Linked DNA regions of Saccharomyces cerevisiae S288C. Changing the gene in region 2 together with the main gene of any one other region gives a genetic interaction. Each region holds a gene or a part of one and is shown on either strand. Other genes may lie near its edges. The genes, in order: RGL1, BNI4 and RGD1.

Region 1 (3,600 bases), on a different chromosome or scaffold from region 2:
GCTATTAAGTGTCAGCGAATTCGCCGTAGTTTGCAACGCTGTGTTGTTTGTATGGCAATTGTTATTATATACTTCCAAATTAATCAAATCTACCAGGTTAATAGAATGCAAATTCGCTATCTCATGGATGATGTCATTGTGGTAGGCAGTGCCGCTGTGACTGGGGTGGCTAAATGGAGGTTTCCTCTCAGCTAGCATTTTTTTCAATTTGTCTGAGTGCGCTTGAGAGGAGGCCTTTAATTTGGAAGTAGTGACTGGTCTTGTCTTCGAGTCACTGTTTAATTGCTCGAATGAATATAATAGGTTTACGATGTTTTGTAGGAGTTTTAGATCATTGGGCAGCCTTAACATTTCGAAATTTTTCAAGCCGGCGAGAGTCGGCTTATGTATATCTTTATAAAATAATCTTTGTTGTCTTTTGATGAGATTGGACAAATTTTTCTGAACTTCCAATACAGAGATCTTTTCGGGATCATCATCAGGTGAAGATAGGCTGGCGCTATTGTGGAATTTAGGGCGCTGCAGAGGCTTAGGTATTATTATATTTGAGGTGCCCAGTGTTGTGGTTGTGGCTCGAATAGCTGGACTAACCATGTTTTGTGCGACTACTTTACGCTTCTTAGGGACAATAATGGATGGTACCGCTGCCGTTGTGGTTGAAGGAGGATCGGACGTCTGATTTCTCCCTGAATAGTCAACCCTTTTTCTTTTCCTGAGTTGCATATGCATATTATATTGTATGTGCTTGTGTAGGTAGAAGCGTCTTTTATTTATCTACTGTCTCATCAGCTCATCGCATCATTAATACCAGTATCGGTTATAGTACATAATTAACAAATGTATGTAGCATTTTGGCATGCTGAAAAAAAAAAAAAAAACTTTATCAGGCAAGTGGCTCGAAACCGTGTGAAAGGATATCATCAACGGTCGTTTTTACCTGTTCCGCGGAATAGCGTTCCCGTGGGAAGAAAAGCAGCACGTGAGCGTGGAAAATCCGGGCAACACTTTGTAGTTCCGGGTAGTTGACAAACCAGGCCACGTGACCCGAGCTTAGAAGTGGACGCAGTAGCGGCTGTGCCTGCAAAAATGCATTCATGCGAGCGCGGGCCGCTTCGCGCACGGCCTTATCTGGGGAATGTACTGGCAGGGCAACCTTGGACCAGAGAACAAGGTGTACAACACCAGGCTCGAAGTTATACGGGAAATCGTTGGCACGCACAGCATATAGAGTAGAAGAACTAAAAGCCTTCGCGGCAGCATTTTCGAGCTGCGGTTCGTCTAGCGACCAGCCTAGTTTTTGCAAAACGTACTGGTTCATGTCCAGGCCAGCAGTCCTTTTCTTATGCTCGTGGTATTTGTCAGTCATCTGGCGACTTCGTTTCAAACGGGCAAGCTCCCCCGATTCAATTATCTCTTTGATTTGTTCCCACTTCCACCCTTGGGCCTCCTCCTGGTGATCGTTGACGATATCTTGTTGCATTGTAAACCTAAGCTGTTATAAGTAAATCAAGTGCAATACAAATATATACAGCATGCTGGCGTCCTTAGCCTCACGCCTACTAAACAAGAGCATCTTACTCTCACCATCCATTTATATACATATATAAGTACGTAAAAATAGATGTGTATAAGTCGTTCTATCTATAACGCGCCCCGAAGTTGTTTAGTATAACAAAAACGGAAAAAAAAAGAAGGAAAATGGAGATTGCCAAAAGCGCGCTAGTTTGACAGAAAGAGTGAAATATTAGTTCAATATTTCAGCTGTCACGGTCATCACTGCTCCGACACTTTTTTGTGGGATGCTTTCTGTTCACCTTGGTTTTCTATGGGTATATAACAGCTGATAAAGAATCGAAGAAGTGAAAATGACGCACCCAGTTATATCACTAAAGCCAAGCTACAATTCTGTAATACGGGGCTGCCCCGGTTTACCTGATACGTTACCACGAATCGAATGCCAGTTAAGAGTGCGCTCAAACAACTCTTTGCCATTCAAATTGGTAAAGATCGAAATTGTTTTAAAGACAATTGAAATATATTTCAACAAAAACCTTTATAGCAGCAATAACAGCTCTTTCACCCCATTTAATCGTCCGTCGGACCCCTCTAATGGCCATTCTGACACCAGTAACCAGAACATCAGCATTCATTATAAGAAAAACATCGTGTTATCCCACCCTACCCATGATGGCGACGATCTCAACAATGATCTTATTGGCATAGACATACCTTTGACGATTGGGCTACCTGACGACATCAAAGAAACAAACTATAATCCGAAATTCGGCAAAACGCAGACTTTCCTGGATTGTACCGTGTTTTATACAGAGGTCGGCGGAGGAAGCTCAAATAAGAAAAGAAATTTTCTTTACCCAGTAAACGTCGAAAGGTATACATACCTACCTTCACCGTCATATTTCAGGCCAATAAACAGATCAAACATCACTTCTCCCGATCAAAAGTTCTTAATTAGTTATTCCATTGAGAATCCCTGTGTTTCTATGAATAATGACACGTTGAAACTCTCCATATCAATCAGGCTGAACCCATTTCCGAACAATGCCACAACTCCCTCTTCGAATGACTTTGATGTGTCCACGCCGACACTTTTCTCCACAAAGAAAAAGTTTAAGTCCAAGCTCAAATTGAAATCAATTACAACACAGATACTAGAATACTTGGAAATTCTGAAGAACCAATCAGAATTCTCATCCACGCAAACAACAAATATTTTGCAAACCTCTGTAAGACAGGTTGATCAAATCATCTCCATGAATTCAATGATTTTTCAATTCAACCTAAAAATATTCACTAAGGACAAAATTTTACAAAGCTTTAGATCTTCTGAGTCGAGTTGTCCCGAAACTAAAGTATTAATCAACAAAATCGACGACATTCCTCTGCAATATCATAGTTCGATAACTACGATAGGTCAACATTTTAATGTTTCTCACTATCTTTCAATAAGGTTCAAATTCAATAAAAGTCTGAAAAACTTCGAAATTAATCACCCCCTAATCATATCGTTTTGGTCAGTAAGTCAATTGCCGCTAATCGAGAACCTAATATTGCAAGAAAGACAAACTGCTAAATTTGCCAAGAAGTTTTATAAAAATTTTGGTCGAATCAAGAACACGAGCAACAACAATAACAGCTCGAACTGTCTAGAGTATCCCTCCTTGCCGCCAATAATTTATAATTTTAACGACCCAGAAACAAATAATAGATTTAATATATTATACTCGCAAAAGGACCCTAGTCGTACGGATCCTTCTAAATTGAGAAGAGTACCTGTCATACAATGAGGCAGTGATTGGCATGGTTCATATATTAAATCAACGCAGATACGTAGATCTATAAAGCTTTTGAATAATGCTAATGTATTATATATTTATATTCTTCTTGTCCCGCACTCTGGTCTTTTCAATTTTCTACATGAAGAGAAAAAAAGACTATAGCGTCCGGCAAAAAAAAAAAAGTTATGGTTTAACAATACAACGGCCCCATGGGTTTAAAATAAGGGCACTTTCATAAAGTCACTTATCACTCAAAAGCACCCATGCAAAAACACAATATAAAATTAAACCAAAACCAGGATAT
Region 2 (3,837 bases):
TCATCTGCAAAAACGCTTTGCCTTTCAGAATCCTTCTTCAGAGGTTCTTCTCTTGGTTTTGGTACATCCCTTTCAACTTCAGTTTTTTCTTCATCAGAGGCCATCACTAGCTGGTCAAATTTTTGTTCAATAGACTCTAAAAATATGTCATCTTTTTTTAGTGGACCACTATCGTCCTTGATATCTAAAAAGTCCTCATTCGTGGTACCTTCGTAAGAGTGTTCTCTGGAGAAATTATCTGAGTATTCGAACCTTCCATTCTTTAAAATGCTGCTAGCAGGAGACTTCGTCAAGTCTGGAGTAGATAATACAACAGAAGATGCCTCAGTGATGAACATTCCCTCACTTTGCGCTTTGATCGATAGCGTATCTGTCAATGACCTTCTTTGCGAGTTCATTGAACTTCTCTTGTTAGACTTTGTAGATCTTGTTCTTTCTAAAGAAACGATCGAGTCGACTTCATGATTATCCAAAAATTTTGGGAAAAGAACCTCACCTGTATCGTGTTTGGAAAATGCTGGTGAGGGTGCTTCGTAGTCCAGTGATAAAAAATTATCCTTGGTTGGTAATTGAAGATCATTTTTGGCATCATCATCTTCTCTTACGTGTTCTTGTAGCGGGGTATTTATCTGTTTATCACCTCCCAATATGAGATCCATGTTTAAAGGAGTAGGTTTTCTCTGATCAATTGATCTCGTTACGTGATCTATTTTCACGGGAGTATCGTCGTGGTTTTTTCGTAGTAGAGGTGATTCAGTGGATAACACTGATGCGGCGTCAATTATTTGTTCAGTATCTTGCTTTTTGTCCTTGGATTTTGGGGTTCTTTTTTTTTGCCTCATTGGTTCCTTTCGAGGTGAGTCTGATGTTTCAATTTTTCCCTTTAGGAAGGAATTGAAAATGCTACTGCTACTGTGAGACTTCTTCTTTAGTTTTTCAGGCGTTTTTAAAGAGGTTTGAATATTCATTGAGAAAGTGCTCGATGAAGACATCTTATTTTTTTCATTCGTTACACTATTATTACCAATAACTGGTTTCGGTTCTTTCTTCTTCAGAAATGAAAATATACTCTTTTTCTTTTTATGCATAGAAGTGTCTTCAAGTACCGAGCCTGCTGAAGTAGTCCTTTGGGCAGAAGAATCAGTATACTTTCGCGCTTCTGCTTTGTTTAAACGAACTTTTGGGTTGTATAATTTACTCGAAGGAGGCGAGGGTTTCGGATCCTCTTTTAAAAATGGTGCGCTATGTGTTGTGCTTTCAGTTTCTGAATTAATGATAGTATTTTCCTCCCGCTTAACTGGTAAATTGTTGTCTCGTTCGAGAATAGTACGTCGTGTACTAACTTTGCTCCGAGGTCCCTGAGAATCAGGTTTTACTCTAGGAGTGGACAAAAAGTCAGGTTCTTCGAAAGACGGTAAACTCAAAGGGGCAACTTGAATACTATTGGATCCGTCAATGTCAATAAGGTTTGGAGAGGTCATCGCCAAGTTTTCATTTGCTTCCTCTCGTACAGACAGCCTGGATCCAGTTATATCCTCGTGATAATTGATCGAGTTGTTTTGCTCTTCGGCCTCTTCTTCTTCTTCTATTATGGAAGACTCAATATTTTGTGCCTTTCTAGTTTTTTGGTCAGCATATTTGGATCTTTCGTTCAGAATATCAGCCAATGCACTTAATGAGGGGGAAGTTGTCATATTTACCGTTTGTACTTCTGAGTCTCGGGCATTACTTTCTCCAAACGACCGCTGCAGAACTGAGCTTTCAACATCCCTATCAAGGACGGATTCGCATGGCTTTATTGATGAATTTAGACTTTGATCTGATATCTCCTTCAATATCAGAGAATTTCGAAAGGTTCTAGCATGATCAAGTGTATTTATCGACGTCGACGAATAAAAAGTAGAATTTAAAAGTTCTGAGGACTTTGAATCTGAAATACTATCCGACATATTCTGTTGAATACGTAGTGATATATCGTTATTAATAAAAACGCTGCTCGTACGGCTTTTGCACTCTGGTTGTTGAGATTTCTTTGTCAATTTATTTGAGTCGCTTTTCCTGTTGTTTATTTGCAAAGTCAAAACCTGTACTAATAAGCGAACTTGAGGGGGTCAACTCTAAGTGTGAGAATATTACACGTCTTGTTCTAAAGAAGATATAAAGCCAATCTGATTTCTTCGAATCTGAAATGATTTTTCATACTCGGGACGATAGAAGAGAGAAGTTGACTTGACGCGTCTCCGCTGACGCGCCTATATAAGACAAAGATTAGCTCGCGGGTAATAAAGAACAGGCAGTGATCTAAAGAATATATAATATAACCTGGGAAACTTATACACTTAATGGTACGGTTGTAGTTACATAATCGAGCAGTTCTTCTGCTGAGCAGTTTTTTGCAATAAATGGATTTTTTCATCATAATTATTTTTCTTGGTATTACTTTCCACGACGGTACTGCTACCGATGCTTGGTTTTGTACTTCCAGAGCCCTTTGGTGAGATTGGAGGCGTCGATTCACGGTCGCTTTTTATTGGAGTAGAAGAATTGTCTAAGAGTATTTCTGTAGGAATTTTATTTGTCGGTACTTGTGTTATATTATGAGGTATAGTAGCGTTTTTAGTTTTCACCATTTGTAGCTTGTTAACTGTACTTATATCATGCATCGCAAGTTTGGGAATGGAAAAATTTAAAACCACAGAGTCACCATTATACGAAAAATCTGGTTGAATCTTTTCCATTGGGTCCTTCCCTGCAGTAATCATACAATTTGCCAAATATGAGTAAAGTTGTCCCCATAGATTTTTGAGTTCCAGTGTGAGAAAAGATCCAAACCTGTCCTGCAATGTAGTCATAAATGCTTTTCCCATTACTTCGAAACCAACGGTTTTGATGCCGAGAATTCTGGAATGGCGTTTTCCTAATTTCACAATATAATCATCTAGGACATGAACGTTTTCAAGGTTGTCAATAGCAGAATCAAGGACCTTACAGAACGAAACTGCTTGATGTTTTAATGATGGAAAATATTCTTCTAACAAGGGATCCATTGCAATCAAATTGTCATAAAACTGTGAACAAAATAGTGCAGTATCAACCTTGTTATCATTGTCCCTTTGTTTTGTTTTACGTGGCCTGGCAGTAGGGTCAATAGTTTTGGAAATCATACCGTCAGGAGCAGTATTCAAATAGGGTCTTTCTGTTGAAGTAATATGTTTATTGGAATACAGAAGTGCTTGAAAAACTTTTAATTCTTTAGGTGTTAAATACTCCCTGAGGAGGATATCCCAGGACATTCGAAGTAACAGCAGATCTCTTGCATTAACTTTAAAGTCGAATCCTTCTGTATTCGGGGAGTCACCACGATCTATCTTGACCTGGTAGACACTACCTTCGGAACGTGAAATAGATTGTGGCATAAAATCGCTTCCGGAGTTTTTGGATGACATTTCACTTCTCATGGAATGATCATGAGAGCCAGGTCTCTCGTTTATTTTCAAATTATCGACTGGACCTATACTACTGCTGTTGTAGGAAGGCAGGGTTACGTTGTACATCATCGGTTTCGTATGGTGGACATTCCCGCTAGACATGTCGCTGTTGGTTAACAACTGCGAATGAAGTATTTTTTCTCCTGTCATACACAACCAGCTTATATGTGGATGAATGCAAACAACTGCAGCGGTCCGGTGGCGAGTCCCTTGAGGGGCAGACTCATATAAAATGGTTGCATAACGATTGCTATTTTTCAAAGGAACATTATTGCTCCGGCTCGTTCGAGCCTAAAAACCTTTTTTTTTGAAGAGGTTTTTCCGATGCCCCTTTTGCCTACGGAGTTTT
Region 3 (3,837 bases), on a different chromosome or scaffold from region 2:
TTAATGGTTGAACATTAACTCCCCACTTGGCAGGGTCTAATCCGTACAGTTCCAGAGCTCTTGCTTGACACAAGGATTCGGACTTATCGATGATTTCGTTACCTCCGTAGTATCTTTCACCTGGATAACCTTCAGAATACTTGTTTTGGAGCTCAGAACCTAGCAAATCCATAACGGCCTTCGAGGTGAAGTTTTCTGATGGGATAAGGGTGATAGAGTGTTTTTGTCTGTGACGTTCTTGTTGCAAGATGTCAAACATCTCTGGATCTCCCTCCGAGACTGGTTTGGAGACTAGCGATTGTGCACCACTGGTGAGTAGCCCACGACGATGAACAGTTGCCATACATTTGGCCAATGCAGAAGCTCTGGGAAACATGATTGAAAGACTATGAGACTCGATGTGGAAATGTCGGCTTGATGATTTTTGATAGTTTGCTCTTCTCCAAGAGGCGATGGCTTTTAGTATTTTTTTTCTCATTGACCACCAATAAGCGAAGTACCTAAAAAAAAATAATGAGTCTTTTTTATATTCTATCTCTTGGACAGAAGGGGGACAGAACAGACAGTGGACTAAGAACCAGCAGATAACGGAGAGAATCATGTCGAAATTGGGTCCGTTAGCAAGATCTGTGAAGTGGACTCTCTCTGTGGGAGTAATCGGTTCTGTTTTTTACCTGTACCGATACAGTAACAATGGCTACTTCTACGATCACGATGCTACATGGTTGAAACAAGATCATCAGGTACAGGACCTGGTGGATAGAAAAGAAGTGGTACCTGGGGAGACCAGGAACCGCAAGCTAGTTGTGACGGATGATGGCACTGCATGGAGCAGGACCATGGGGGAGAGCATAAAAGATATTTGGAATGAACAGATAAGAAACTCTGTCGATTGGATCTACTCCTGGGGTAAGAATTAGCGAGCTTTCTATTTCTCCTACTGTAACGAACATCCTCATGTATATAACCTATTGTAACGACTCTGTGTAGAACTTTATATTCAGAAAAAATATCAAAAGAAAAATTTAATTATTAATCAGTACTTTTCACTCTGGTAATGTGCATCGGTGTCAAGAGCATCTCCAAGAAAGAATACATAAACAACAACGATGGACGTGCCTGCAGATTCCCATATCAAATACGAAGATGCCATCGACTATTGGACGGATGTGGACGCCACTGTGGATGGTGTTCTAGGTGGATACGGAGAAGGTACAGTAGTACCCACAATGGATGTCCTGGGATCCAATAACTTCCTGCGTAAACTGAAGTCGAGGATGCTGCCTCAGGAGAACAACGTGAAGTACGCTGTAGACATTGGTGCGGGGATTGGACGTGTAAGCAAGACCATGCTTCACAAGCACGCCGCTAAGATAGACCTTGTAGAACCGGTAAAGCCTTTTATCGAGCAAATGCACGTTGAATTGGCTGAGCTGAAAGACAAAGGCCAAATTGGACAAATATATGAAGTAGGGATGCAGGACTGGACCCCCGATGCCGGCAAGTACTGGCTGATCTGGTGCCAATGGTGCGTGGGACACCTGCCAGATGCAGAACTCGTCGCATTCCTGAAAAGATGTATTGTTGGTTTGCAACCTAATGGGACAATCGTGGTCAAAGAAAATAACACACCTACAGATACCGATGATTTCGACGAAACGGATTCTTCGGTCACAAGGTCAGATGCTAAGTTCAGGCAAATCTTCGAAGAAGCTGGCCTAAAGCTCATCGCCAGTGAAAGACAACGTGGCTTACCAAGAGAATTGTACCCAGTGAGGATGTACGCACTCAAGCCCATGCCAAACTAGGATCAAGGATGCATAGATTTATATAGATACGCCCCTTTTCTTGTGCTGGCATTCACCATTTGTGCCATTATATAGACTTTTTTTTCGATATATATGGAAAAAGAACCCAGAAAATAAAGAATGTGAACAAAATAGTATGTAAAGTAAAAACATACAATCTCGGAAGATTAAAAGAGAAGTGATATAGACAAGATGGAAGAGACTGCGAAGAAACCAGCTAGTGCCACAGTAAGTGCGAAGTCGTCGCACGATGGTGGCACCGACGATTTGGCGCACCTTTTTAGCACGCCAGAGATCAAGAAGGTGCTAAATTCCGATGTGGCAATTAACGCTTTGTTGAGCCGTTTAAAGCAGTCGTTGTTGACTTGTGAAGAGTTTATGAAATTTATTAGAAAGAAATACGCCTTCGAAGAAGAGCACGTTCAGGAGCTCTCCAAGCAATATAAGCACTTTTTCAACATTCAGGGTTCCACAAATTCATCCTTAAAAAAGATGATTCACGAAGTTTTGGGATTCGATGGCAAGATGGCTCAAGTAAAGCAGAGTTATATCACCGCCTTGCAGAAAATGTACTCCGAGATTAGTAGTCTTTTATTAACAATGACAAAATTAAGAAAGTCTGTCAAGGAGAACAGCAAAAGGCTGGAAAAGGATGTTTCTGATGCCATACACAGCGCAGAAAAGGCGCAATCTCGTTACAATTCGTTGTGCCAAGATTGGGACAAATTGAGGATGACTGACCCAACAAAAACAAAGCTGACCTTGAGAGGTTCCAAAACTACGAAGGAACAAGAAGAAGAATTGTTAAGAAAAATCGATAACGCCGATCTGGAATATAAGCAAAAAGTAGATCATTCTAATTCTTTGAGAAACACATTCATAACGAAGGAGAGACCTAGAATTGTTCAAGAATTAAAAGATTTGATTTTAGAAATAGACACAGCGATGACTATCCAATTGCAGAAGTACACGATATGGACGGAAAATTTGGTTCTGAATACAGGTGTTACAATAAGCCCATTGGACTCCACCAAATCTATGAAATCATTTGCTGGATCTGTTTCCAATGAACGTGATCTTTACAGTTTTTTGAACAAGTATAACCAAACAGGAAAACATTCCCTACTGATCAACAAAAACTTGATCCCTGTATCATACAAAAAGCATCCATCAATGAATCATGGTCAGAAAAATAAGAGCCCCCCAAAGTTTGCCGTGGACCCTTCAAGAAACTCCATCCCGAAGAGAATGATATCCACTCATAATGAATCTCCATTTTTGAGCAGTAGTAGTAACACTGCCGCTGTTCCGAATGCTAATCTTAACAGTGCTACACCGTCCTTAAATACCAACAAGCAGTTACCACCTACTATGGCTTCATCTATTTCTTCCACTAGCAATGCGGCTGGCGCTATGTCACCGTCTTCTTCCATTGTAACAAGCGACACCACATCATCCATAACAAAGACCCTGGATCCTGGCAACAATAGTCCACAAATTCCAGAAGAATTGATTAACTCTTTAGACTCGGATCGCCCGATTTCTCACATTCAGACTAACAACAATATGCCACCCGGTGTTCAAAAAAATTTCAAAACATTTGGTGTACCGCTAGAATCACTGATAGAATTCGAACAAGACATGGTCCCTGCGATAGTGCGCCAATGCATATACGTTATTGATAAATTTGGGCTTGATCAAGAAGGAATTTATAGAAAATCGGCAAATGTACTTGATGTCAGCAAGTTGAAGGAGGAAATTGATAAGGATCCCGCAAACATTTCCATGATTCTACCATCAAAGCCACATTCTGATTCGGATATTTATTTAGTAGGATCACTGCTGAAAACTTTTTTTGCGTCGCTGCCTGATAGTGTTTTACCAAAGGCCCTATCATCGGAGATCAAGGTTTGTTTACAAATTGAAGACCCAACAACAAGAAAAAATTTTATGCACGGACTAATATATAACCTCCCCGACGCACAATACTGGACGTTAAGGGCTCTTGTCTTTCATTTGAAAAGAGTGT

What was found.
Region 1: mutations in BNI4 (region 2) and RGL1 impair growth when combined (synthetic growth defect), as found in Saccharomyces cerevisiae (4 studies listed by BioGRID, with this or other methods).
Region 3: mutations in BNI4 (region 2) and RGD1 impair growth when combined (synthetic growth defect), as found in Saccharomyces cerevisiae (4 studies listed by BioGRID, with this or other methods).

Annotation. Positions count from the first base shown.
Region 1 is NC_001148.4:424,368-427,967, forward strand, and holds RGL1 (Rgl1p), read left to right. Parts: upstream 1-1,865; coding exon 1,866-3,305; downstream 3,306-3,600. Other genes in the region: YPL068C (uncharacterized protein), read right to left, coding at 1-729; HTC1 (Htc1p), read right to left, coding at 884-1,480; ESCRT-I subunit protein VPS28, read left to right, coding at 3,560-3,600. UniProt on the Saccharomyces cerevisiae protein: Regulator of RHO1 signaling that acts as a cofactor required for the efficient localization of the TUS1 GTP exchange factor (GEF) for RHO1 to the bud neck during all phases of cytokinesis.
Region 2 is NC_001146.8:210,034-213,870, reverse strand, and holds the start of BNI4 (Bni4p), read right to left. Parts: upstream 1,950-3,837; coding exon 1-1,949. Other genes in the region: YNL234W (uncharacterized protein), read right to left, coding at 2,358-3,638.
Region 3 is NC_001134.8:732,803-736,639, reverse strand, and holds the start of RGD1 (GTPase-activating protein RGD1), read left to right. Parts: upstream 1-2,000; coding exon 2,001-3,837. Other genes in the region: glycine hydroxymethyltransferase SHM1, read right to left, coding at 1-376; MIC12 (Mic12p), read left to right, coding at 600-920; TAE1 (N-terminal protein methyltransferase), read left to right, coding at 1,110-1,808.